Linked DNA regions of Saccharomyces cerevisiae S288C. The protein of the gene in region 2 interacts with the protein of the main gene of each other region in a pairwise test. Each region holds a gene or a part of one and is shown on either strand. Other genes may lie near its edges. The genes, in order: NOC2, FPR4, NOP53 and SPB1.

The links.
Region 1: the proteins of FPR4 (region 2) and NOC2 interact in binary tests that used the Saccharomyces cerevisiae proteins (3 or more experiments, as listed by UniProt).
Region 3: the proteins of FPR4 (region 2) and NOP53 interact in binary tests that used the Saccharomyces cerevisiae proteins (3 or more experiments, as listed by UniProt).
Region 4: the proteins of FPR4 (region 2) and SPB1 interact in binary tests that used the Saccharomyces cerevisiae proteins (3 or more experiments, as listed by UniProt).

Annotation. Positions count from the first base shown.
Region 1 is NC_001147.6:725,422-734,340, reverse strand, and holds NOC2 (mRNA-binding ribosome synthesis protein NOC2), read right to left. Parts: upstream 6,830-8,919; coding exon 4,697-6,829; downstream 1-4,696. Other genes in the region: tyrosine protein phosphatase PTP2, read right to left, coding at 1-416; DNA-directed RNA polymerase III core subunit RET1, read left to right, coding at 884-4,333; GEP3 (Gep3p), read left to right, coding at 7,107-8,777. UniProt on the Saccharomyces cerevisiae protein: Involved in the intranuclear transport of ribosomal precursors.
Region 2 is NC_001144.5:1,028,170-1,032,532, reverse strand, and holds FPR4 (peptidylprolyl isomerase FPR4), read right to left. Parts: upstream 1,700-4,363; coding exon 521-1,699; downstream 1-520. Other genes in the region: 60S ribosomal protein eL6 RPL6B, read right to left, coding at 2,765-3,280, 3,665-3,679. UniProt on the Saccharomyces cerevisiae protein: PPIase that acts as a histone chaperone. Histone proline isomerase that increases the rate of cis-trans isomerization at 'Pro-17' (H3P16), 'Pro-31' (H3P30) and 'Pro-39 (H3P38) on the histone H3 N-terminal tail.
Region 3 is NC_001148.4:272,929-279,277, reverse strand, and holds NOP53 (Nop53p), read left to right. Parts: upstream 1-1,748; coding exon 1,749-3,116; downstream 3,117-6,349. Other genes in the region: oxysterol-binding protein KES1, read left to right, coding at 1-883; ATP-binding cassette long-chain fatty acid transporter PXA1, read right to left, coding at 3,411-6,023. UniProt on the Saccharomyces cerevisiae protein: Late-acting factor in the nuclear maturation of 60S ribosomal subunits, which is required for normal acquisition of export competence. Required for the export of the large subunit.
Region 4 is NC_001135.5:29,797-39,014, reverse strand, and holds SPB1 (27S pre-rRNA (guanosine2922-2'-O)-methyltransferase), read right to left. Parts: upstream 7,567-9,218; coding exon 5,041-7,566; downstream 1-5,040. Other genes in the region: APA1 (bifunctional AP-4-A phosphorylase/ADP sulfurylase), read left to right, coding at 214-1,179; LRE1 (Lre1p), read right to left, coding at 1,399-3,150; PBN1 (Pbn1p), read left to right, coding at 3,622-4,872; RDT1 (Rdt1p), read right to left, coding at 8,019-8,105. UniProt on the Saccharomyces cerevisiae protein: Required for proper assembly of pre-ribosomal particles during the biogenesis of the 60S ribosomal subunit. Specifically methylates the guanosine in position 2922 of the 25S rRNA at the stage of 27S pre-rRNA maturation.

The DNA.
Region 1 (8,919 bases), on a different chromosome or scaffold from region 2:
ATATACTTTTCATCAGATCCAAGGTAATTCTTTAGTAAGTTCTCGAACGGGTAGTTCGACCTTTTCACCAAAGTGCTGGGTAGCGGCAACGATAAAACTGTGATATCCTTAGCATTGGTATTGCCTAAAAATGAGTTGGTATTGGGGCCAGCGCACAGATCTAGTAAAAGTATTTTAGAATGCCTATTAGAGTTGTTCCGCCGTATGTTAACGTCGTCCAAATCTTTGCACGGTTTAATTTGATTTTGGGGAAGGTTAGACAGATTTATAGTTTCACCTCTATAGACGGGCATTTGACCAGGTGTTCTAGTTTGATTGACTTGTATGTGGCCCTTTTCCGATATAGCGGAAGAAGCCATTCTATTGCCGTTATTGTCTCTTTTGCCATTACGATATTGCTGTGCTATGCGATCCATCAATAGCAACGTCGATCCTATTTTATTGTAAACTATTAATAGCACTGGGGATCGGACCTAGGCTTCCAAACTAAGCGAAAAGGGCTGTGCAAAGCGGAAGAGGGGAACCAGGGGAATCGGGTCTGTCAGGTTGAGTGATCTCGTCTTTCTTGTCAAAGGTCGCAGCGCGGTGTTCAAAGAAAGATGATGATTCAAAGTTGGCACTTCCCAAAGGTTTTAATAGGTGCATTATTTTTATATATTCCTTATTGTTAGGTGTACTACACATAAAGATATAAATAGTTCCATAAAGCAGGCGCGTATTTTCCAGATCACGTCGGACGAAATTGTAATTGTGAGATGAGCTGAAAATTTTTCGATCTATGCTTAAGTGATGATATATGGACAAGTTAGGAAAGAATTAAAGGGAGTTTAAAGTGTTGATAATTGAGCGTTTTAATCGCTAGGGACTTAGTGCTTGTTGAAAAATGGTTGCTGCGACAAAAAGACGGAAAACTCATATACATAAGCATGTGAAAGACGAGGCTTTTGATGATTTATTGAAACCAGTATATAAAGGTAAGAAACTAACTGATGAAATCAATACTGCTCAGGATAAGTGGCACCTTTTACCAGCATTCTTGAAGGTTAAAGGTTTGGTGAAGCAACATCTTGACTCATTTAACTACTTCGTTGATACAGATTTAAAAAAAATTATAAAGGCAAATCAATTAATTTTGAGTGATGTTGATCCAGAATTCTACCTGAAGTACGTCGATATTAGAGTGGGTAAGAAGTCCTCTTCTTCGACAAAAGATTATTTGACTCCGCCTCATGAGTGTAGGCTTAGAGATATGACATACTCTGCACCAATCTACGTGGATATAGAATACACTAGAGGTAGAAACATTATTATGCATAAAGACGTGGAAATTGGTAGGATGCCGATCATGCTGAGATCTAATAAATGTATCCTATATGATGCTGATGAATCGAAAATGGCTAAATTAAACGAGTGTCCGTTGGATCCTGGTGGTTACTTTATTGTTAACGGTACCGAAAAAGTAATTCTTGTTCAAGAACAATTATCCAAGAATCGTATTATTGTGGAGGCAGATGAGAAGAAAGGCATTGTTCAGGCCTCCGTTACTTCATCTACCCATGAAAGAAAATCTAAGACTTATGTCATTACCAAAAATGGCAAGATCTATTTGAAGCACAATTCCATCGCTGAAGAAATTCCTATTGCTATTGTTCTCAAAGCCTGTGGTATTTTATCAGATTTAGAAATTATGCAATTGGTTTGCGGTAATGATAGTAGCTACCAAGATATTTTTGCAGTCAATTTGGAAGAATCTTCGAAATTAGATATTTACACACAACAGCAAGCTTTAGAGTATATTGGTGCAAAAGTAAAGACAATGAGAAGGCAAAAACTGACTATCCTGCAAGAGGGTATAGAGGCCATTGCTACCACGGTTATTGCACATTTGACTGTGGAAGCCCTTGACTTTAGAGAAAAGGCTTTATATATTGCCATGATGACGCGCAGGGTGGTGATGGCAATGTATAACCCTAAGATGATTGATGATAGAGATTATGTTGGTAATAAACGTCTTGAATTAGCAGGCCAATTGATTTCTTTATTGTTCGAAGATTTGTTCAAAAAGTTTAATAATGATTTTAAACTAAGCATTGATAAGGTCTTGAAAAAACCAAATAGGGCTATGGAATACGATGCATTATTGTCAATTAACGTCCATTCAAATAACATCACCAGCGGACTGAACAGAGCTATCTCAACCGGTAATTGGTCTCTTAAAAGATTTAAGATGGAAAGAGCGGGTGTTACACATGTTCTTTCCAGACTATCTTATATTTCCGCATTGGGTATGATGACAAGAATTTCTTCTCAGTTTGAAAAATCAAGAAAAGTTTCCGGTCCAAGAGCATTACAACCTTCTCAATTTGGTATGCTTTGTACTGCAGATACTCCAGAAGGTGAGGCGTGTGGTCTAGTGAAAAATTTAGCATTAATGACTCATATTACTACAGATGACGAAGAGGAACCTATAAAGAAATTATGTTATGTTCTTGGTGTAGAAGACATAACATTGATTGACAGTGCATCCTTGCATTTAAACTATGGTGTTTATTTGAATGGTACTTTAATTGGTTCAATCAGATTCCCAACAAAATTCGTTACTCAGTTCAGACATCTGAGAAGAACAGGTAAAGTGTCGGAGTTTATCTCAATTTATTCAAATTCTCACCAAATGGCAGTTCATATTGCAACAGATGGTGGTAGAATTTGTAGGCCATTAATCATTGTTTCTGATGGTCAATCTCGCGTGAAAGATATTCATTTACGCAAATTATTAGATGGTGAGTTAGATTTCGATGATTTTTTGAAACTCGGATTGGTGGAATATTTAGATGTCAATGAAGAAAACGATTCTTACATTGCATTGTATGAAAAAGATATAGTTCCCTCGATGACACATTTAGAAATCGAGCCATTCACAATTTTAGGTGCTGTTGCTGGTTTAATTCCATATCCACATCATAACCAATCCCCTCGTAACACATATCAATGTGCGATGGGTAAGCAAGCGATTGGTGCAATCGCCTACAATCAATTCAAGAGAATAGATACATTATTATACTTGATGACTTATCCACAACAGCCAATGGTGAAAACCAAAACAATTGAATTGATCGATTATGATAAATTACCTGCTGGTCAAAATGCTACGGTTGCTGTCATGTCCTATTCTGGTTATGATATTGAAGATGCTTTGGTTTTGAATAAGTCATCCATCGATAGAGGTTTCGGCCGTTGCGAAACACGTAGAAAGACAACCACTGTTTTGAAAAGATATGCGAACCATACCCAAGATATCATCGGTGGTATGAGAGTTGATGAAAATGGAGATCCTATCTGGCAACATCAATCTCTTGGTCCTGATGGTCTAGGTGAGGTGGGTATGAAGGTCCAAAGTGGACAAATTTATATAAATAAGTCAGTTCCAACTAACTCAGCAGACGCCCCAAACCCAAACAACGTAAACGTCCAAACTCAATATAGGGAAGCTCCGGTAATATATAGAGGTCCAGAACCTTCTCACATTGACCAAGTTATGATGTCTGTTTCGGATAACGATCAAGCTTTAATCAAAGTTTTGCTAAGACAAAACAGAAGGCCAGAATTAGGTGACAAATTTTCTTCTAGACATGGTCAAAAAGGTGTTTGTGGTATTATTGTAAAGCAAGAAGACATGCCCTTCAACGATCAAGGTATAGTTCCAGACATTATCATGAACCCTCACGGTTTTCCATCTCGTATGACTGTGGGTAAAATGATCGAACTGATATCGGGTAAAGCTGGTGTATTGAATGGTACATTGGAATATGGTACTTGTTTTGGTGGTTCTAAACTTGAAGATATGTCTAAGATTTTGGTAGACCAAGGTTTCAACTATTCCGGTAAGGATATGTTATATTCAGGTATAACAGGTGAGTGTTTACAGGCTTACATCTTTTTTGGCCCCATTTACTATCAAAAGTTAAAGCATATGGTCTTAGATAAGATGCATGCAAGAGCTCGTGGTCCAAGGGCTGTTTTGACACGTCAACCAACTGAGGGTAGATCTAGAGATGGTGGTCTGAGGTTGGGTGAGATGGAGAGGGATTGTGTAATCGCGTATGGTGCTTCACAATTGCTGTTAGAAAGGTTGATGATTAGTTCAGATGCTTTTGAAGTTGATGTCTGCGATAAATGTGGATTAATGGGCTATAGTGGTTGGTGTACTACCTGCAAAAGTGCTGAGAATATTATTAAGATGACTATTCCATATGCAGCAAAACTGTTATTCCAGGAATTATTATCCATGAACATAGCCCCAAGATTAAGATTGGAAGATATCTTCCAGCAGTAAGAAATCATATATCTTGTACTAAATTTTGCGTTATGTTAGCAATCATATCTATTTCGTGAGGAACTTTAAGAGAGTTGAACGATTTCGAAAATTATATAACAGTAAACCGTACTTCTTTCATTTTTGTACCTTGCTTTACATCATTACTTTTTATAAGATCCATCGAACGTTTGACGTGTTTTCTATCCATAAACCGGCCAAAATATAAAAATATCCAGCTGACAAGAGAAAGCTTGGAGTGCTCACATGTTAGCACATGTGAGCACAATGATATATACGCTTTAAAAAAGACTTTTCTTTATTTTACACATTTATAGACTTAACTATTGAATTCAAGACAAAAAATCAAATCTTGCTGAGTTGTTAAGCGTCTGACATTTCAACATCTTCGTTGTCATCATCACTTTCCAGACTGTTTAATAATTTTGCTTCTTCTGTTTCTCTTTCTTTGTCTTGTTCTTCCATACTTTCTCTCATTAATCTGGCCTTTTCTTCCTTAACTTCACGTTGTACTGCAACATAAGAACCTAAAGGTGTTTTATTCCAAGCTACATCATTCAAAAATCTTGAAACTTCAGATTTGTTTGTTGGCCCAAATTCAACATCTGATCTCTTTTCTTGGATGAATGTGCTGTTTTGGTTCAATTTTTCTACAACAGTTGATAAACGTTTGTTAAGTTTGACATTAGTTGAAGTCTTGATGTAACGGCGTAAAGAGATAATAACCGGTGTTACAAGTTCAGGAAATGCAATGTTTTTACAGTACAGAGCAAAATAATCGCCCAATAAGTCCACAAACTGTTCTGACAAACCCTCTTGGTATATTTTTGTATTCAGATAAGCTTGCGTACATTTGATGTTGTGCTCAAAATCGAAAGCAGCCAAGTTAGGGCTCTTTTTGGGTGCCTTAGTGAAAGCCGTTGAGGTTAAAATTTCAGAAAGTAAAGGATATATTGGAATAAAAACACCACTATTTTGAGAAAGTCTAATAAGTGATTTAATCAAATAAAATCTTAATGGGAAGAATTGTGGTGTTGGGATTAATCTGATTACACCCAAAGTAACCTGAACCAATGGGTAAATTAATTGTCGTAAAGGAGATTCACTGCCATTTTCCTTTTCTGGTTGACAAGCAAACGATAGTACACGAGACCAGAAATCCAAGGAGTGACAGAATTGCCAGTTGTATACAATCTTGTAAGCTTCTGCGGAATTAATTTTACTGGATTTTTTAGTTGTCGCGTTCATTGTATTTCTTAAATGAATTGCCAATTGCCTAATATACTCAAATCCAACTTGGTAACCTAGAACTTCATCGATACCGAACAATTCAGCTGCCGAATTTTTTTGAAAATTAATCAGTGGCATAGAACGCATATTCGTTTTACGACAACTTTTGATAAAAGTGGAGTACGTTGTTTTTAAGGTTGTTTCTAGCATAGACTTCTTGAACTCTTTGGTGGTATTGATCAAAAAGGCAAAAGAAGCAATCTGGGTTTCTAATTCTCTCGTTGTAGACCATACTCCAACAATTGATTTAATAAGCTCCTTTAAGATCCTTCTGTATGATAAAAGATAAGGCATCAATTCGTTGACAGAATGAAGAACTAATGCTGCTGTTTCCGTATTAGTAATATCATTCAATAAAATCAACAAAGAGCCAGCATGCGACTTGACAATGGACGAGACCCTGGAGACGTTACCTCCATTTGGTAAGGTCCTTGCGCCTTTTACAATCTTGTATGGGGCCATCTTTTGAATCGCTTGTGGTACATCTTTCAAGACCATGAACATCAATTCGTGGAATGCTTTCTCATCAGTGATAGCATATTTATAGTCTTCGATGTTTTCTTCCTTGTTCAAATTTACAGCAACCTTGAAAGCACTGATTATGTTCCTTAGTAATTTTAAGCTTGGAGAATCATGAAGTTGTTTTTTCCATTTCCTAACCAATTTCAAAGAAAGCTCAATTTTTTCCTTTTCCAGCTCCATTTGTTCAGATTTTTCTTCAATATTACTGTTTCTTTCAGCATCTTCACCTTCATCTTGACTATCAATTCCATCCAATGGATTGGTACCTGCGAAGTCCAATAAATCTTTATCATTTTCCTCCAAATACTTATAAAATTCGGGATCCTTTTCGGCCAACTTTGCCATGCTTTGTCCCATGTCTTCCTCCTCTTCGGAAGAGGAGGAATCTTCATCAGATTGCTCTTTCGTAGTTTTTTTCTTCAATTTTTTATTCTCTTTTGGAATTTCGATGCCCTTTTCAAAAAAAGTTTCGACAGACATGTCCTTAAAAACCTCTTCCTTTGCAGATTTTTTCAACTGCTGTTGTTCCCTAGTACCAGCAGCATCGGCCTTTTCCTGATCAGTTTTGTTGCCACGACGGCCTTGGATTCTCTTCTTTTGGATCTTTTCCTTTCTTCTTTGGTCTAGAGTATGCTTCAAATGCTTCGATTGAAACTTCTTGGTCGATTTAGAAACTTTACCCATCTCCACTTATTCTATTGTTGACCTTCTCTATCTCTCTTACAATTCAAAAATTAGTATAAATGAATTTACCCATGTACAAGTATTCTGTTTCTCTATTTTCTCTGTAAATATCATGCTCATCTCATCGGAAGAAAAAATTCAGAAAATTTTTCAAAACTCGTCGAAGATGATAACTACTATTTGATGTTATGGGTCAAGATACATTTAACAGAGCAATATTAACGAAGGACCTTCCTAGTAACACGTCTAATTACTTTGAACAATTCAATATGCGGGAATGTTGAATCTGTGTCATGCTCTTCGAGGCGTACGTCAGTTTTCCTGTTCTGTGATTGTGAAAGTGAAATGTGCGTCATGTTCCATAAAACTACAGGATCAGGATCCTAGTAAACCAGGATATTATACGAAGCCAAAAAGTCTACCCGACTCAAAACTAAATCCTGACCTCCAAGATCTGAAGTATTTGCTATTCAGTCAAGACATACAGCTCTCGAAACAGGCAACTCAAAATGATCCTGACCTCAAAACCAAAAGAGATTTACTATTGAGAGTGATTTGCAAAAGGTGCAGTAATGCCCTTCATCATAACAATTATAACCCGGAAGAGTTTCCCGAAAGCACATTAAATGATATTCTGAACTACGTCCCCAGAGGCTCAAATGTTATGCATATTGTCCCCTTTGTAGAATTTCCCTTACATTTAGACCCCAATGTTTTGAAACGAAATGATTTAGATACTACATTAGTGTTAACGAAAAGCGATCAAGTTTTTAAAGATAAAAATGCTGTCAGCAAAAAGGTTCCTATATTCATGAAGCAATTTTTAAAGAACACTTTAAGAATTGACTCAAATAAAACATTCGCCATATCTGCGCTGAAAAACTGGAACATATCCATGTTTTACAACTACTTTAAAAACTACACATATTTGCTAGGCAACCCTAATGTTGGTAAATCAACTTTGATCAATACTCTACTACAGAAATATCTTGGATATAAGGTTAAAATTGATTCTACTGGGAAAATTAACTCCCCCTCTGAAGAAGTGATGCAAGAAGCTTTTACGAACCCGAAGAATTTTTTCAAGATTCAAGCTGCTGGTGTATCACATATTCCCAATTTAACTAGATCCGTACAAGCCTACCAAGTTGGAGGTAAAATACTTTTTGATCTTCCAGGCTATTCAACTTCCACCTCCAGATTACGCCTAGAAGAACTAATCGACGAGCGTTGGCTTCAAAGGCTGCGAAAAACCGATTTATTCAATCGGAAGCATATAAAACAGAAGACTTATGAGTCTATGAAGGGCACATCACAGGGAGGCTGTTATACCGTGGGAGGGATTTTCTACCTGGTACCTCCGAAAGGATCCATAAATCAGATTGTGAAATACATACCAGGACCATCAAAAACATTCAAGAACATTGAAAAAGGTATTGATGTATTCAACTCGTGCAATTCATCATCTGGCACACATCCGTTATCACGGTATTGTGGAATTAAAAGCGTTATATGCGAAAAAAGCCAGTACAAAAGGTACGCAATACCTCCATTTATTGGAAGTATAGAGATCGTTCTGAAAGATATAGGATATATTTTATTAAGGACAACTGGGAGGTATGAGTTCAAAGGACTACATGAGATATGGATACCTAGGGGTATCCAAGTAGGTATAAGGGAACCGCTAGAAAACTTGATTGAGTCTGGCTACCAGCGTTACATTGAAACAAATGGTAAAGAGTCAAGCTGTCCCAGAGATAGACCGATCATCAGTTCCCTGTATGAGATGGCCCCGGATGAAGCTGATACTTTGAACGCAGTGAAGAAGTCGTATTTAGAAAAAACCGAGAAAGATTTATCTGCTAGAAGATTTGTCGACGATGATCCTTATGATTTGGTTCAACACCTAGAAAAAAAAAAGAATCCCTATTGGTACTACCAATGGTAAGACTCGCTGTTCACTTGGTTGCACCAATAAGTAGTAACGCACATGTAAATATGAATGTAAGTAAACTAAAAAGAAAGTTGGGAACAAAGTATATTCAAAAACGAATATACAGGAAATAAGCAATAGAAAGTATTATGAATTA
Region 2 (4,363 bases):
TATAACTTGCTCGTACAAAATATTCCCTTTGGTACTCCACCTCTTCAAGATGTATCTGTGTGGTAGGTTCTTGAGGTGATTTAGAAAACGGCCTTCTGATATGTTTGACTAACCCTTGAATGCAACATCTTATTGTTCTCGATTAACTTTTGTCGCGCTGTTGAAAGGGATTCAACAAAACAATGCGCTCGTCTCTAACGATCAATGGTCTATTTATCGTGTAAGTATATATGACATAAACTTTACATATTACGAAGTCATTTTTAAAACTCGAGCTCCTTTTACTCAAAGCTTCTATATTTTACTTTGAGGTCTTCCGATAATTGTATTAGTACTCTCAGCCAATATATGCATCGACAAGTAGCTGGGCGGCTATATCACTAAATAGCTCGCAAAAAAATATTGCTTTTTTATGGCAGAAAAAAACATGTAAAATTGAAAGATAATATTAGTAATGGAAGTATAGATAATTGTATATAGTATTATAGATACATATATCAATACGTATGCATTAAGGACCCTATTTCATGGAGACCAATTTAACATCAAATGTCAATTCAGAGTTAGCAGGAATACCGGGCAAAGCTTGTTTACCGTAGGCATATGGAGCAGGAATGACAATTCTACGCTCACCACCGACCGCCATACCAGCAACACCGATGTCCCATCCTTTAATTACTTCGCCTTGGCCCAACTTAAAAACAAAAGGCTTACCCTTTGTATTCTTGTCAAAAACTTTCCCGTTCTTCAACTTACCAACATATCTCATTCCAACTCTGGTACCCTTTTTGGCATGTGGGCCTTTTCCTGTGACGCGGTCTTCAATGATAATACCGCCTTCCAGTAGCTTCGTCTTTGGCTTTGGTTTGCTCTCTTCCGAGTCTTTAACTTTCTCTGCTTTCTTGTCTTTCTTGGTCGTTTGTTTTTTCTCGGCAGGTTTAGCACTTTCTTCCTCATCTTCCTCATGTTTCCTTTTACTGTCCTTCTTGTTGTTTTTCTTCTTTTCGTCCTTTTTGACTAATTCATCAAGACGACTTTCGATGTCACTAGCATCTACTAAATCATCAAGATCGTCATCACCGGAACTTAGTTCCTCATCGTCCTCTTCTTCTTCTTCTTCTTCTTCTTCTCCATTGGAAGATTCTTCGTCACTGTAATAGTCTTCTTCATCTTCGTCTGAATCTGAAGAATTGTCGAATGGATGTTTGACGTAGTTACCGGTTAGAGAGATAGTGTATGAACCGGTAACGACGAATTGAACGTCTTCCTCTGGTGCAATGGTAATATCCAAAGCTTGTTGATATTGGCCTTTTGGAGATAAGGTTAAAAGAACGCATTCTTCGAATTCATCGTCGATTTCGTTTTCATCTTCAGAGTCTTCTGATTCACTTTGCTCGACTGCCTTACCTTTTTTTGATTTGACACTCCTTTTTGGTACATCTGCTTCTTGTTCACTTTCACTTTCATCCTCTTCGAGGCCGTCATTGTTATCTTGGTTGTAGTACTCACCGCGAGTGAGTTCAGGATTCCTTTTGATTATTCTTAAAGTAGATGGCTTTTTGTCATCGTCAAAGGGCTCAGGGTCGATGGCCGCCATTGTGATTCTAATGGTAACCGGAATTTTGAAGTTCAGAGCTGGGGTTGGGGAGTATGGTTCAACATTCAGGCTATACGTAGCCAATGGAAGCATATCAGACATGGTAGAGACGTATATTTTGTTGTCTTTTTCTTTTTTCTTATCATTCTAACATGAAAAGCACTTCTTTTAACACTGTAAAATTTTCAATGCCCTTCTCTTTTCGATGCACCAGCTAAAATTTTCACTGCCTCGGGTTTGAGATAAAAATATACATAGGGCATCGAAGGCAAGAAATTGAGAAATTTAACGTTCATATGGGTTAATGATTGTATGAGAATGTCTGACGAAGAATATTATTTTTGCTGAAGTTAAACTAAGAATTAGAATTATGACTTGATACACAATGCTACTTTCTTTTGGCCAAGCTATTTGATATAAAAGTATACGTAAATACAGAAAAAGGCAACAGTATGCAGGAAGTTATTCGTAGTTCTTTCGTCACTCGAAATAAAACGTACAACAGACTTAACTTTTACGCGTGTATTAAATATCAACGCACTAATCATACACCCCACTGAGGCAGGTTTAATCACAAAAATGTTGAGATTATTTGCCGCAGCAAACTTTAGCATCTGCACTGTAGTTGCTTCCCCAGCATCCACTTAGTATGGACAAATTGGGTTGTATGTTTACCTTTTACATATATAACATTATCGCTGGCAGGTTACAGAATTTATATGGTGGTTTTGAGAGAAGTTAACACATTGGGAGGACGACTCTGATTATACCTATTGCAATGGCTCGCTAGGACAGCATTTCCTCCACAGAGACTTTGCCTCAGTGCGGTTGGAGTAGACCATGCAGCTTCCAATGTAAATGAATAGATATAGCCTAGTGGCCCAGAACGGCGATGACCTGATCTTGAACCCTTAGATATTAATATTTATGATTTTTTGTATTTTGCTATGTAAGAGAAAAAAAAAATTATAGATACAAAAAGAAGGATATAGAAAAGCACAGATAATGTTGATAGGAAAAATGAATTAGAAGAGGATTAAACTTAGATTACATATCCACTTACCTTTCCGTTATTGTCAAACAGTATTTTCAGATCAACGCATTCTCTATCAATTCTCCTTGTTTTGAAATTCTATTTTAAATCATTTATAATTTTTTCAGTTCAATTTAGAATTTCAATAGGTGTGGCTTGTCACCGTTCTTCAAAGAGAAAGAAGCGGACAAATATTGCTTCAACAATGGGGTCTTCTTGATTTCAGCCAACAAAGCCTTGTCAACAACCTTTTGATCTTCAACACGTTCAGTCTTGATTTCCTTAGTTTGTTGTTCTGGGAACAAGTTAGCTTCCTTCTTTTCCTTCTTGGTCAATTTTTCCTTGGCAAAGTATTCAACGTTGAATTTTTCAACGTTGACACCTTCCACGGAGACTTTGGTAGAGGTAGCAATGACATAACGAGCGTTGACTCTTCTCAATGGAACACCATTGACCTTGAATGGACCAGTGACCAATAGAGTGTTGTCTTCTAGATGTTTCAAGTAGACAACTCTCTTACCTCTGAAACGGCCAGCTAGCAAGATCAAAACAGTGCCTGGAACTAGAGAGGCACGCAACTTTTGTGGGCGAACAGCCTTTCTGGTTTTCTTTGGGGCAGCAACGTCTTCGGAAGGATACCACTTTGGGGCCTATAATTGACATATCGTGATGTAAATCACATATATAGTTAGTATACTACTCGTTTACTTTTTTCTTGCACAATTGATGGTGGGCATGGCGTGTGCTGATTCAGCACAAGGTTTGGTACTATCCTCAAAAAAATTCTTAGCGTAGGAAGAAGTTTACTCAGATTAGCTATAATATGAGTTATTGTTACTATGTTTCTCAGTCATTTGATGCTATATTTTCATTTTTACTAAAATCGTTATTTTCATTTTGTCCAGTTTTGTCCAGTTCATATTTAAAAGGTTAGCTCCCTTCCTGCTTTTGTTCTTGGGTAACTATTTTCCTCTAGGCACGTGTGCCATCTCCATAACCATCACATCCTTCAATTTACTCATCTTTACACATACTTGTTGGGCAGTCATTTCGTTGAATATATTTGCTTCTCTTCCAAGTTCAAGAAAGTAGTCAAACCTAAATGAGATTTTGCTTGAAAATTATCTATTGACTTTTGATCAACTGCCATATTACAGGGCCTCGCGCCTACAACATTAATTGAAACTCACACACTCTATACAGTGCAAATGGGCAAGCACAGGACCAGAATGAGGTTTGTTTCCGCCCATGTGCTCCCTCTACCGTAAACGATGCTGAACGGAAGCGCAGCCTAGAAGGCCGACTTAGCACGGCAAGTCCAGGTTAGGCGAGGATATTACTCGCCGCCTACGGGGAGAATCAGCACATGGGGGCATCCTCCATCTGCGGCCGCCCGGAGGGGACGCATAACCACAACTATGTGTTTCACCGCCATTTTGCAGCTAACAACGATTTTTGAAGGCAAGAAAAAAAATTATGACCCATACATTTTGGTGCATGGGTGATATTTTGTCTTTATTATTATTAGTAACTTTCAGATTAAGACAAGGAAGAAAGAAGGAAAAAAGGTAGGACATGAAGCATGAGAGATAATCAAATTTGCTGAATGCTGTGATACTGGTATACAAATAGAAGTGCTGAAGTTCAAGTTATTTGGTAACATGCAAGTTTCATTAATATTTTGTTATTATGTATTTCAAGGACAAAATGAATTGTAGGAAGATGAAAAAGTG
Region 3 (6,349 bases), on a different chromosome or scaffold from region 2:
TTCTCACCATCCACCCGTCACTGCTTTTTCCATCTTCAATGATAAGAACAAGGTTAAGCTGCAAGGCTACAACCAAATTAAAGCCAGTTTCACTAAATCCTTAATGCTGACTGTTAAACAATTTGGTCACACTATGTTGGATATTAAGGATGAGAGTTATTTGGTTACCCCACCTCCATTGCATATTGAAGGTATTCTTGTCGCTTCTCCCTTTGTTGAATTGGAAGGAAAATCATATATCCAATCTTCGACAGGTCTACTTTGTGTTATTGAATTTTCAGGTAGAGGCTACTTTTCTGGTAAAAAGAATTCATTCAAGGCAAGAATTTACAAAGACTCTAAAGATAGCAAGGACAAGGAAAAGGCATTATACACAATATCAGGCCAATGGTCTGGCTCTTCTAAAATAATCAAGGCAAATAAGAAAGAAGAATCACGATTATTTTACGATGCTGCTAGAATCCCTGCTGAACATCTGAATGTCAAGCCTTTGGAGGAGCAACACCCACTGGAAAGTAGAAAAGCCTGGTACGACGTGGCTGGTGCCATCAAATTAGGCGATTTTAACTTAATTGCCAAAACGAAAACTGAATTGGAAGAAACGCAAAGAGAATTGAGAAAAGAGGAAGAAGCTAAAGGCATTAGCTGGCAAAGAAGATGGTTCAAAGATTTTGACTACTCTGTCACGCCCGAAGAAGGCGCCCTTGTACCTGAAAAGGATGACACTTTCTTAAAACTCGCCTCTGCTCTAAATTTATCAACGAAGAATGCTCCAAGTGGTACTTTGGTGGGTGACAAAGAAGACAGGAAGGAGGATCTTTCATCCATTCATTGGAGATTCCAAAGAGAGTTGTGGGACGAAGAAAAGGAAATTGTTTTGTAAGGAGAACGATAAAGTAACAACTTGTTACCGTTGCACTAATATATTATCTATCTTTTCTTCTTTTTCCTTCCTTTTTCTCTTCATGTGACAGGAAAGGATATGAAATCATTAGAGGAACTAAGAAATCATTTTTACCATCCCCTAAATCTTATATTGTTTTGTTCTCTTTTCACTATAATGACTAGAATTTATTCTTTCGAACCACAAGAATATGCTATATTGCTGTTAAAGATGAAGCAGAAAAAACCTTTATCTATTTCTACTTCTTCCTTTAATTATTGATAGACAGATCGCTCATTTTTTTCTCATGATGTCATATCCTTTTTAATCATCATACGAAGGTTAAAATTTGAAGTTTACCAAGTTTTCATGCAAGTTTTGTTATTATTTACAACCTATTACTATATTTTATCTTCTCTGTTGATATCCTCACTTTTGTCTTTTTTATAACTCTCTAATTTTCTTATGTCAATTTTGTAGAACCACATAATCGATGGAGTATATGCACTTATACAACACTTTCTATACAAAGTTTATGGTATATCCCAAAATCTGTACGCTTATCGAACCATAGGCCTGTTTTATCACTCCATAACAATGAAACACAAGAGGCTAACGCCAAGTACTAAAGTAATATTATCATAATATTGCGTATTACCTAACAGGTGTGCTCTGAGAGAATACAGTCATATTTGACGAAATTCTATAATTCCATCAAAAAATTTTCCGTGCCCGAGCTTTTTCACTTCTAAAAAAGAAAAGAGCAATAAAAATGCGATGGGGTCCTTACATTACAACTTATGCTATTAGTTCGGCTTTCTTGTGATCCATACCATCCTCACGTTAATGAATCATTTATTTAAAAATGGCTCCAACTAATCTAACCAAGAAACCATCTCAATACAAACAGTCTTCAAGAAAGGGTAAGAAAGCATGGAGAAAAAATATCGATTTATCTGACGTAGAACAATATATGGAAAAGAAAATTGATCATGAAATTACGCATGGTACCAGTGATATAACCTCTTTGCAAAATGATGCTCTTTTTCATGTTGATGTTGAGGGTGATGAGATATTGAAAAATAAATTAATTAAAAGGAAACAAATTAAGAAGGTTCTAAAAAGTAAAGAGATTTTAGACGCCGTTAAAACGAATTCAAAAATTGCAGCACTAAATCACCATAAGAATAGTAGTGGAAATCCTAATAAGATTCAAGGTGTTTCTAAACACGAATTAAAGAAATTAATGGCTTTGGCTGGCAGAGTACACGGCGAATCGAAGATCAAGAATAGAGTTGCCAAAGACGGTCTAGTTAAAACAACGGCTGGCGACTTATGGGGTGAAGAATCCAATTCAAAGAAACAGAAGGTCAAATTACCTTCCGGTATCAAACTTGATGTGGAAAAAAAGGACCAGATACCTGAAGAACTATTGAAAAAATCCACGACAAGTTGGTCTACTGCTTCAGTCAGACCAAGTACTTTAGATATAGAGCCAATTGCAGTAAAAGAATTCACAGAAATTCCACATGCTGGTAAATCCTACAATCCCAACAATAAAGCTTGGTCAGAATTGATAAACAAAGAGTATAAAGAGGAAAAGGCAAGAGAAGATGAAAGAATCGCCTTGGAAAAGTACAAAGAAAGAATTAGACATTTAATGGAAACTTTAGATGACAATGAAGAGGAAGAGTCTTCATCAAACGAAGAAGAAGAAGAAGAAGAAGAAGAAAATGAAAATGAAAATGAAAGTACGCAATGTAGTGGATCTGATAAGGAAATAAAACTATCAATAAATAAGCCTGTGAAGAATAAAAAGAAAACAAAATATCAAAGAAACAAGGCAAAGAGACATGAAGAGAAAGTAAAATTGCAACAAGAGTTGAAAGAATTGAGACAACGTGTTAAAGATTTAGAAGAAGTTATCAATTCTGAAGAGACTGAGATACTTTCAGCCATAGAGTCAGATAGCAACAAGGTTAAAAAAAGCAAGAAAAATAAGAAACACAAGTTAGGGACGAAATACTCTGTGATTGATGAAAGATTGGAGATTAAATTTTCTGACGAATTATCTGACTCATTGAGAAAACTGAAACCTGAAGGAAATCTGCTATATGATACTGTGAGAAAACTACAAAGTTCTGGTAAGGTCGAAACAAGAGTGCCCGTTAGGAAAGGTAGAAAGTATAAGCAGAAAATCACTGAAAAGTGGACACATAAGGACTTCAAATAGAGTTTTTTGTTTTACAGTATATGTTTCCATGAAAAGGTTGTCCTTGATACGTGGATTCATCAAGTGAGATATATATATATATGTTCATATTTGTGTTGGCAAGACCAACAACTGTATAGTAGGTAACAAATTGTTTCATTTTCTTTTCGTTCTCTGCCCTTTTCTAGTTTGAGAGGGCATTCCCATGTCGATATCTCTAGATATCAGTTAAACATTCAAAAGTACAAATTCAGTTACGGAAATAATATATAAATTATATTCGCTAAATAAAATCTCTCCCTTTCTAGGGTGTTTTCAAATAATTTCAAGCTTTTCCCGTAGCTTCGTCCTCTCATCTTCCCAACCTTTTACTCTTTCTAGTTTTCTCTCCAATTCCTCAATCTCGTTGTCAATCGACGTGATTGCTTCATCGGTACCAACTGCCTGTAATTGCCATTTGCCATCTCGATTTTCACCGATCTCTAGTAACATTTCATGATATTTGATTAATGTGGGTCTTTGTGATATGGAAATGAAATTGAATCTGTATCGTTTTAAAAGATTGAACAGATAGTCTTCCATGTCAACACTAATTGCGTTTGTAGCCTCATCTAATACTACGTATAGTGGTTTATGAAACATGATTCTAGCAAAATTTACTCTTTGCTTTTCACCACCACTTAATAAGTCCTTCCAATCGGCAATGGCATCTAGGTAAGTTAAGCCAACGCCTCTTTTTAAAAGATAATCTAGTTTCACTTCGACTAATATCTGTACTAGCTCCTTATCTCTAAACCCCCTATCAAAGAATTCATCCGAGGACATGGGGTATATAATTTGGTCTCTTAAAGTTCCACCTCTACTAAAATATGGTTTCTGAGGAATAAAAAAAATATTATTTTCTGAAGGAATCGACAATAATCCATTTTTGTTATACACTGGCCATATTTCAGCTATAATGCGTTGAATTGAACTTTTACCGCAACCATTTGGCCCTAATATTAACAGGCTGGAGCCAGAACCCTGCAAAAATGGTAACTTTATATCATTTGCCTTCGATAAGTCTTGTATAGAATTGGACTTTGAAGTTATTGGGTCAATATGCAAAGGAATTTGAAATGTAAGCTTGTTAATCAGCTTTATGCCTTCGCTCGCCCTTACTGATGGAATGATTACGTCTATATTTTCTAACCGAATACCGTTAAAATTGCGTTGAATAGTACCACGAATAGCATCTTGCGAATTATCCGTGGTGGGTAATAAGTTGGAATTTCTGGAAGCGTCTTCTGTACGTATTGACAGGATTGAAGGAACAGCGCCGTAATTAAAGTTCAGAGAGTGAACCCTGTGTAAGACGGAAAGCAGAGTAAATATCCTATTAGTGTAGCCGGTCAATTGTGAGATGTCCTTTATCGAATGCATCAATCTCGAGCCTGCATCTGCAAGCGACAACATCAACCTTTTGTTGACTATAAATTCCTTCATATTTTTTTCCTCTGAATTGATGCCTGTCGCTAAGGTAGACATAACGATAGGGATTGAGGCAAAAACATAACCCAAACCGGACCATGTATATTTTAAAACATAGTCTTCCAACATATTGTAACCAAACTTGACTTTATCAACCAGCAGCATTTTTTCCATCAGCACATCATACAACTCTTTAACTTTCGTCCTTTCCACTGCTGTTCCTTGGTAAAATGCGATCTCTTCGCTATTATTTATCATGTTTAGATGATAATTGTAGTAATCGCCGTCTGAAGCAGATCTCTCGCCTGCCAATTTACCTAATGGTGGCGTGTATTTCCTCAAAATAAACCCAGTAATGAAATAATTAACAAATATACCTGCTACTCCCACAGTTCCCAAATTATCACGTAAATAAACCGAAAAGAATATTAAATCAATAACTGGCTTTGCAATGTTTGCAAAAACGGAGCATGTCGCATCGCAAAATTTTGCAACATCATTAGTAATGGAGTTGTCGATATTCTTGATTACCGAATTGGACGCCTTTGCATCAAAAATTAATTTGTAAAATGTTAGTCTTTTATCCAAATACATGTCATGGATGTAACGTGTCAAATTTACCCTAAAGTTTAAACTCAACTTCCTTTGAAGTAGCTTAATAGCACTATTAGTATAAGAAGCAGGGACAGCAATTAAAAACCAACACCCTAAGTCCCACAGAAAGCTTCTTCCTCTACCAGCAATTATATTTTTGACTATTTGTCCATCCAGCTTGGCTACAAACAAAGAGAGCCAAGTTCTCATCACCAGGAAAAAAATTTGAGCAGTTAAAAGAAGAAAGTTTTTGTCAAAAACTGTTGGAATTAAAATTTTAGACAAGACGTTCATTTGGTTTAAAAATTTTGAGTAGAATAACTGCGAATTCTTGGCTCTTTCCAGTTCTACATTTTTAAAAAGAAACTTATCGTGTTCATATACATCGTTATCCTTTGGTGGAATAAATATCCTTTTCCTTTTTTTTTTATCTGTAGCATTCATAAATTTGTTGTCATCGGGACTCTGGCGGTCGACTAATTCCACTTCAGGAATATACATTATTCTTGCACCACTGTCTAATTGCATTTGAGATCTTGTTCTTCTTATTAAAGGTCTCCTATTCCTTCTCTTCCATGGAAACTTGTAAAATTTATAACATTTTAGAATAATTTTGAAAGTACTATATGTTACACCAGAAAAAAGTGTGACACCAGATAGGAAAAGCGATACCAATAAAATCTGGGCCCTTCTTCTTAGCTTAGGATGAGCAGCGTTTGATCTAGATATCTGTAGAAGATGCCGTATCAATAACTTGAAATATACTTTAGGTGTGACATCGTTAACGTGTAGCCCAATACAGTGAGTATGTAGATTCAGGAGCAAACTCTTTAGTTTCGCTGGTGCTGCTAATGTTGTTGACATTTCTGTGTTATGCGTTCTAAGACTTCCAGATTGTCTGAAACGGGTTTCATTGTTAGTCTCACTTCTTAGAGAAGCATTCTTATATATCTTGACTCTAAAAGGGCTGAAAATAACCGCCGAAATTAAAAATTGGGGTAAAAAAGGGTAACGAAACTTATGCGGTTAAGCCCGATCAACATATAGCTGAATATTGCGTCAAGAATAATTTCTTAATCGGGATTATTTCCGAAGGAAGAAATTCTATTGAAAAAAAAATCTTAACATCAAAACTGCTTATATACATTCCACAGGTTCAAGCGGTCATAAGAGATCTGACTTTTGATAGA
Region 4 (9,218 bases), on a different chromosome or scaffold from region 2:
CCTGTTTCGGAACGTTCTAGAAGATTTTCTTATTTTTCTCTTTTTCAGTTTTTTTTTCATCACGCAAAGGAAATACAATACAAGGTTAAAATGAAGGAACTAACATTACTATTATTTCCAATTTAAAGTTTACCTTAAAAGACAATAGATTGATCTTGAAAGCCAGTTTAGATAGATTTTAGAACAAACAGAAAAGTAAAAATTAAAATAAAAATGAGTATCCCCGCTGACATTGCATCTTTAATTAGTGACAAGTACAAAAGTGCCTTCGATAATGGTAACTTAAAATTTATCCAGACTGAAACAACGAAAACAAAGGACCCAAAAACCAGCATGCCATACTTGATTAGTCACATGCCAAGTCTGATCGAAAAGCCAGAGCGTGGCCAAACTCCAGAAGGAGAGGATCCACTAGGCAAACCTGAGGAAGAATTAACGGTTATCCCAGAATTTGGTGGTGCCGATAACAAAGCGTATAAATTGCTATTAAACAAATTCCCTGTAATCCCTGAACACACTTTATTGGTAACTAACGAATACCAACATCAAACTGATGCCTTGACCCCAACCGATTTATTGACTGCTTATAAGTTGCTGTGTGCCTTGGACAATGAAGAATCCGACAAGAGACACATGGTCTTTTACAATTCTGGTCCAGCCAGTGGTTCTTCATTGGACCACAAACATTTGCAAATTCTGCAAATGCCTGAAAAGTTCGTCACTTTCCAAGATAGACTATGTAATGGTAAAGAACATTTCCTACCAACTTTCAATACTGAACCTTTGCAAGATGCTAAAGTCTCGTTCGCTCATTTTGTCTTGCCAATGCCGGAGTCTGAAGAAACTGTTGATGAAGACCTATTAGCTATGTGTTACATCTCCATATTGCAAAGAGCTTTGACCTTTTTCCAGGACTGGTTGAACGAAAATCCAGAACTAAAGAAATCCTACAATCTTATGTTAACCAAGGAATGGATCTGTGTCGTTCCACGCTCGAAGGCCTTTTCTGATGAAATGAAGATAGGTTTCAACTCCACAGGTTATTGTGGTATGATCTTAACCAAAAATGATGAAGTTTTCTCCAAGATTACTGAAAAACCTGAATTGATTAACGATATCTTATTGGAATGTGGTTTCCCAAACACTTCTGGTCAAAAACCAAACGAATACAACTATTGAGTCCTTCACAAGTACAAGTATACACGTATACATGTATGTATATATATGTATTTAAATGATAGAAGTAATTTCTATATGTATATGTCTATTCAATTTTTATTTCTGATGACTTTGAAATTTTATATTTATTATTCTACACTTTATTATTAAAACTACATGCAATCAATGCCGTTAAGGTTACGATTCACCTTTTTATTACTTATTATTAATATTGTTGTATTACTTCCTTGAAAAAATATGTCTAAAGAGTCCTAATTTGGATTTTCTTTTCCTCCTAACTTCACTGTCCTGCGCCTGCTTTCCTAACGCATCATCGCTAATACACCAGCTTTCATTGCTTGTTGCTGCGCTGTTGCTCGCATGGAACGTTTTCAGTGCGTCATCATCCTGGGATAAACTAAAGACTAAGTCACCAGTTTCATTTGAGGCTTTTCTCTGCGCGTTGACAAAAGAGGACAGATCAACCATATCACCTGGTTCACCCATGAGAATGTCCTTACTTAGTTGCGAATTGGTTCTGATCTGCCCTTCAGACTTGGAATATTCATTACTGTCATTACTTTTAAGCCTATTCATTTCTTCCTTGCCATCAGGCGTACAGGATTTGACCACAGAGTGTTGAAGGGGTGCATCGTCCGCTCTCGTAATAACCCCTCCGATACTATTTTCATTGTTGACACCGTTGACTGAAAAGGGCATGGACTGTGCATTAATGTTTTCATTTTTCATCATATCATCATATGGCATTTCATAATGTTGACTCTTGTAGTTGAAGATTGAGTTTATCGTGTTACTGTTTCGTCTACCTTTCATATTATCAATCAGGTTGCGGTGTTGCATGTGGGAGATAGGACTGCCCGATCTTCTTCTTCTCGATTCTCCACTAAAATCCTGTCTTTTATCGCTATCCAGCACACGATTAAGCTGTGAATTGCCGCACTTTTTAGGATAACCATCCTTGGCATATCTAGGGTTATCTTTTAGTGGAAAATTATCACTTTCTAAGTTAATGTCCGCATTGCTGTCATAAAAGGATACTGGTGTTGCGGGAGTAGATGCTAGTTTAGAAGGGGTATAGGCCAGGGAAGAAGGTGTCATTGCCTGATTGATTGTCATTGAAGCAGCCGACCTTTGTTCTTTTGGAGATTGCGAGTCACAGCCTACGGTCAAAGGTAGCTGCTTCGTATAATGATAATATCTTTGCTTTTGGCCTTTGATCTTCAACGAATTGAATGTGTTGGAATTCCGTGCATTGGCGTTTTGCATCCCATGGTTGTGATGGGTCGGTGACCCATTGAGAGCTGAATCATCTACATCAATGGCCTGTTCAGATACACAAAGGGAAGGCCGCAGTGGGGATAATAGTGCTGTTGGAAGCTTTTGCTCATAATATTCATTTTTCGATTCTGGTTCAATTAAGGAGTCCTCTTCTTCTTTAATCATAGAGTTAGAACCGGCTGCACAATTGCCCTTATCTACCATAACCTCCAAATCAGGAGGAGCGGATTCAGATCTTCTATGTGATTTAAATGACCTAGGCCTTGTCTTCAACGCATCGTCAAGGTTAATAATGGCATCTGGGACGCCTTTAACTGGCGATGAAAAACTTGGCTCTTCACTAATGAAAAATCGTGGACTTGGTGTTTGCAGATTGTTCTTTGGTGATAACGGATAAAATCTTGGTTCAGGCAAATCTAACGTTCCAGCGTCTTCATTGGTTTTGCAAGGAAATCTATTGTAGCGTATTGGCGATAATGTACTTGATACAGCAGTTGGGGCAGTTGAAGGACAATTTTCAGCCGCCTGTGGAGGTGGTAAATTCACAATTGCTGCAGGCTGTTTCAAAAAATCAAAATCTCCTGATATTGCTAGCGATCTGCGATGGCGGTGACCTCTTTTGGATGGTGTAGACAAAGTATTTACAGGATTTGGCTCTGATATTTGCACATGTTGAGTATGCGTATTGGGCATTTTCCTATTCTGAGAAGGAGTATGAAATAATTGCCGAGGGTTCAGAATGCTCTTTTAGAAATAAAAATGAATGTAAATAGTTGGAATGTATCTTTAAGTAGACAAATGCAGGTAAGTTTTAGTGGCCTTTGCGGATTAACAGTATGCTCTTAGTGCAAAACACGAAAAGAGCTCCCAATCTTTGAACACAATCGACCACGGAGGAACAATACACGTAGAAGGGGATAACTAAAACTTTGTCGTGCAAGAGTATTGGAGGACACACTAACAGCAGAACTTTGCCTTCTTAACTCTTGTTTATGATTGCTTGAAGTATTACACATGTAATAAAAGATGATTATTTTTTTTTTCCTAAAAAAAGTTCCTTTCTTTGAAGATCCCCCTGATAAAAAAGATCAAATAATGGAAACGCTAATCATAATCAAATCGGGAGGAGAATAAACGCAAGAAGTGTGCGTTTCTAGCTGAGTAATGGTGACAAGACATAGAGTGACTGTACTCTACAATGCCCCTGAGGATATCGGTAATCATATGCGCCAAAATGACACTCATTTGACTGTTCGTGGAGGTTCTGGTGTGGTTTTACAACAAAGGTGGCTATTAGAGAGGACTGGAAGCTTGGATAAATCCTTTACGAGAATCACTTGGAGGCCCAGAGCGGACTTGGCTAGAAGTTTAAGCGTTATAGAAAATGAACTGAGTGCTGGCTTTTCAGTTTACTCAAATTCTTCGGATGTGCCGGAAAGGTTTATTACTAACCCAGTCTACAATTCATTTCACAGTGAGAAGTTTGACATAGAGCAGTACTTGCCTCCCGAAGTAGATTTGAATCTGTCATGGAATCCAGAAGATTTTACATATGATATATCAGTGGAGCCCACACAAATCCAAATTGTTGAATATCGTCTGTTGAAACAGGGTGAAGAATTTACAATTGCAAGAGTGAAAGATGAGAAACTCGAAGTAGGTGTATTCTTTGTGGATGCAAGTGATGAAAGTGATGTCGATATTGGTGGAATACGTTGTAATTGGAGGATGGACGATGGTAAAATGGAAAGATGTCAGAAAACATCCTTATTGTATAAACAGGGCCATATCGCATACAATCACTCGACGACTACGACATCACTATATCTGAATGAACCTATCGGTTTGCATCCAAAAATCATGATTGATCTCACAGATTTCGAAGAACGCCCTAAATGCATGTATCTAATGCACCTGCAATTGCCGTTAGAATTATTTATCGATAAATTCCAATCCTCTCCCTTACTACTTTTTGGAGAAGACGACTTAGAATTACCAGAATACTCTCTTCGAGATAAGGCATGGGGTTCTGAAAGTATCTTTGAATTGAAAGCCGGCACAATGAATGAAGTGACATTGCATACTAGATATATTGAGCCTTCTAATAATAAAGGGGATAAATTAGAAGTTTCATTTGATCCAGAAGTTATATTAGCCTGCGACACAGGTGACAATAAAGTTTCCCGTAATCCATTTTATAAAAAAGGTCTAGGATATGAATCTCTCTTTACAGACGATACTACATTCCGCCATTTGAACTCGACAACTCTTCTAGTACCAATTCCAAGGCCTGACACAAAGGATTATTCCAAGATCAAAAATGGTACGTTACTATGCTTACTCATCTCCATCATATACATTTTCTCCAAGGTATTTGGTAACAACAAGAAGAAAAGATCAGTAAAACGGGAATAAAAATTGTTCTACTGTGCACTCGTATTTTCTGAATTCAAAACGATAGGTTTCCTATAAGTTTTTTGATGATAATTTGATTAATTCTATGTATACATAATATATCTATTGCTTTCTTTTCCTTTATTTTCAATATTATACAAGGGAATGGAAAAATAATGCTCTTTGTTACTACTTTTTCTTGTGATGCTTCTTTGCGATACGTCTTAGGGCTCTTTGTTCATTCTTCATGACACCATCAACCATCTTATACTTACCCTTAACGCCCTTTGGTCTACCTGCCAAACCTTTGTTCCTACCTGAGGCAACAACCAAAGTAACCTTTGGCTTGGTCTTTGGTTTTTTGGTAACCTTACGCATCAATCTAGAAATTTCTTCAGCCTTGTCCTTCTCTGTCTTGTCTGAATCATCGTTAATCAAGCCCGCCTTCTTCTTGATCTTTTCTAACCGAGCTACGGCACGCATCCTCTTTCTTGCCTTAGCTTCAGCAACCTTCTTAATAGGACGGGCGTTCATTGCCTTTATTTTTTCTTTAATTGCCATCGCTGCCTCCTTAGTAATCGGCTTATTTATCTTTGAATGTTCCTTTTCATCTTCTAAAAACCAATCTGGCAAATTTTCGGTGTCACGGAAGGTGTATCTATTGAAACCTTCATCAACAAGATCATGCTTGTTTTTCTGACCCAATGCTAACTGATGTGCCAAAGTCATGGCTTCAACAGTAGCAATATCAATGTCTCTGGAATGCTTTTCTTTCTTTGTTTGATTTTTTTCTTCCTCTGAATCATAATCAGAATCGAATTCTTCTGATGCATTATCGTTGGCCACAATTTCGAAATCGGAGTCATCACTTGAACTCTCATCCGAAGAATCTGCTTCATCTTGTTTCTGGTGCATTTCTTCATGTTTTCTTTTCTTATTTAATTTAGAAATATCACCAACAGACTCGGAACTCATTATGCCATCATTGACGGTATTTACTGGCAAATCAGGTTCAACGTTATTAAATATCGGATCATTGAAAATCATACGTGCCTTACTACTCAATTTGTGATCACCTTCTTGTCCCTTCAATTTGCTAATCAAATTGGTGATGGCTTCATCATCATCGGAGTCTCCTTCGACACCTTCATCGTCATTGTCTTCGATATAATCTTTACCTTCCTCTTCTTTCTTTTCTAGACTTCCCTCATTAAAACCGGTCCATTCTTCCTCATTATCGCCACCACGTGCTTGCTTAGCTCTAAACTTGGCATCCCTTTCCGACCTTCTAGTTTTATAATCACTATACATGGCATTCAACTCGCTTTCTAAATCGTCCGCATCAGCGGCAGAATCCTTATCTTTGATCATGATGTTTTCATCAATGTAAATATCATTATCTTTGGCTAATTCATCGTCTGTAAAAATCATTCTTTTCTTACCCTTCGCCAAGTCGTTCAAGATACCAGTCTTTTCTGCAGTTTTCAAATTAAACAACGATTCTTTACCCAAACTTGCGGCTTCAATACCAATATCAGTGGGGGTTATCATGTTCATTTGCATTCTCTGTAGTTCCTTTTGCTTCATTTCGTTCTTCCTTCTTCTTTCGCGCTTGACATTTAGACGCTGCTTCTCCTGTAAACCTTGCAAATCTTTTTCAATTTGCTCCTCTTCTGTTAACGGTACTACTTCAATTTCTGTTTTAGCGTCGTCCTTAACTTCGATGCCCAAGATTTCCCTTGCAATCTTTCTCCATCTTAGGATCATTTTAAAATCCTTTTTACCCAAGACTTTTAAATCTTCAATACAGGAACGGAACTCGTCTGTGGTTTGTTTCAATTTCTTCAAGATCTTCCATTCATGGTCATTCTCATCAATTGTAAACTTATTCATTTCTCCAAGCATGCTTATTGGGTCTTCCGTCCTGACAAAATCCAAAATTGAGGTTTCATGATACAGTAAATTATCACCTTCCTCATAACCTTGTCTTTTTCTAACTTTTTTTTCGGGATTATAAATCTTGGACTCCATATTCTGTTGCCCATCTGGCAATTCTTCAAAAACTTCTTTTGGATCCAGTAATCTTGGGTCCAGCCTCTTTGGTGCCTTGAAACCTTTACACACTACAAAAATTTCTGCAGAAACATTTCTTGATGCGGGTGGTTTTGTGGCTTCAACTTTCTCAAACAATTGTTGGAAAACCCAAATCAATTTATTATAATCCTTGGATCTGAAAATTTTAGTAACAAAAGTACCGTTCACCACCAAATTTTCGACGGCCAACTTCAAAGCTTGTAAGGTTAATTGAGATTGGGTGAAAGCATCCTGAACCCAACCCAAACCAACATTAGGAGCACCATCATGCAACACTGTATCAGCTTTCCAAGTCTTCATATAACCCCTCAATTTTGATCTACAATCTTCTGTTGTAATATCACTTTGAAAAGTTATAACATTGGGCATCGGCTTCATTGGAACAATATCAACACCAATAATTAAGGAGTTGACAGGACAGAGTTTGGATGCAACTTGACACCATGAACCAGGAGCAGCACACAGATCAATAACAACCTTCGATTTTTCTAAGAAGTGGCCATACTTTTCATTAATCTGAATAATCTTAAAGGATGAACGAGCACGATAACCTTTCTCCTTTGCTAGATAATAGTATCTATCTAAACGTCCCTTACTATTCTTCTTTTGTGTCTTACCCATTTTTGCCAATCACCTCTATTGAGTTAAATCTAACTACAAACTGAAGCAGAATGAGTATTGAAAGAATCTAAACTTAAACTAACTACTATACTATTATTGCCAATTTTTCATAATGGGCATCGCAAAAAATTTTTCAGACAAAAAGAAACAAGCTGGGTAACCCGCTTTTGCGGTTTTAGTATACTGGAGGAGATTAAAATTAGACAAAAGAATAATAACGTAAGGTGAAAAATGTTTAAACTCAATAGTGTGAGGTTTACGTGGCTATATATACGCAATATATACACTTTAATCCAAATTATCCCTCCCACCTGCTTGCTACTCTTTTGAGATTTATCTTAACGAGCTAAACAGACAGACTTCGGAAGTTCAAGCTGTCCAGAACTCCTTTATAGAGCCAAAAAAAGTAATGCTTTCGATTATTTCTGGTTCTAGAAATTTTTCAATACCCTTTAGTAGTCTTCTTTGCGCCGGATTGCTGGACAAATAGAATTTCTTCTTGACTTAACTATAAAAACAAAAATCTTCTGTCGTATCATAGCTACATGCTGTAGTTTTCGATTAAATACATGCTGCAGTTTTCGATTAAATGCTAATTTTTGTATCCAATATATAGCTATTCATCAATTGAAATATTCATTTTATAAGTAAGATTGAAAAAAAAAAAGAAAACCACAAAGAGGAGCAGAAACGTGGCAATCTAAAGAAAAAAAAGCACCATCTTGCAAACACTAGCACATTTGATAATCATAGAGAACAAAAATAATTCAAAGGTGTGCTTGTAAGTCTTTAAACGCGCCTTTTTCTTTATTTGTCGAGAATCGTGTAAATTTCCCAATACAGTAATTACACGATCCACGCTGTCCCAAAAAAGTTCAAAAAATTTTTCGTGCTTTTCCTTTATTGAAAATCATTTAGTCCAGTTTCATTCTGTGTTCTGTGTTTCTTCGACTTTGAGATTTCTATTGAAGTAGTTATTTATTTACAAAATTTATTGTATTTACACTTATTATAAATTTTCTGTCATCTCGACTTAGTACACCTGGCGCTGGTTGTTATTGGCAATATAATAGACAATATTATCTCATCAATACAACAAATTAAACTCCAGAAGTCACATAAAGTATACAATTAGTCTTGAAGCATCTGATTTTGAAATCTTTTTGGTATCAATTAACGTGCCGGAATACTGTTTGCACGAAGGAATCAAAGATAGGTACTGTGTGCGTCAACAGAACTTAAGCACTAGTGATTTATATTAAAAAAACCAAACAATTAGAACAATTAATTAACAGTGACTTTGAAATTCAGAACTATATTTACGTCGTCTGCAATTAGAATTAAAAGGAAATCAAAAATTCAGATACAAAGTTCATGGCATCTGCTTTGACATATTTGTTATAATTGTGTAAAAGGGCACAGTCAATGAGTAGTAGATAGTAAAGCCTAAATAATTATATGTAGCAATTGCTTCTCTTGAAATTGGGTATCATGGGTGAAAAATTATTGTGCATTTATAGCAAACCTATTAAACAGATCAATGTTTTAGTGAAAATTATGTCACTGGACAATACAAATCTTTGGAAACCGTCCCTAGAATTTGGAATTGGATAATTTAACTCTTTAGAATATAACATCTACCGAAGTACAAC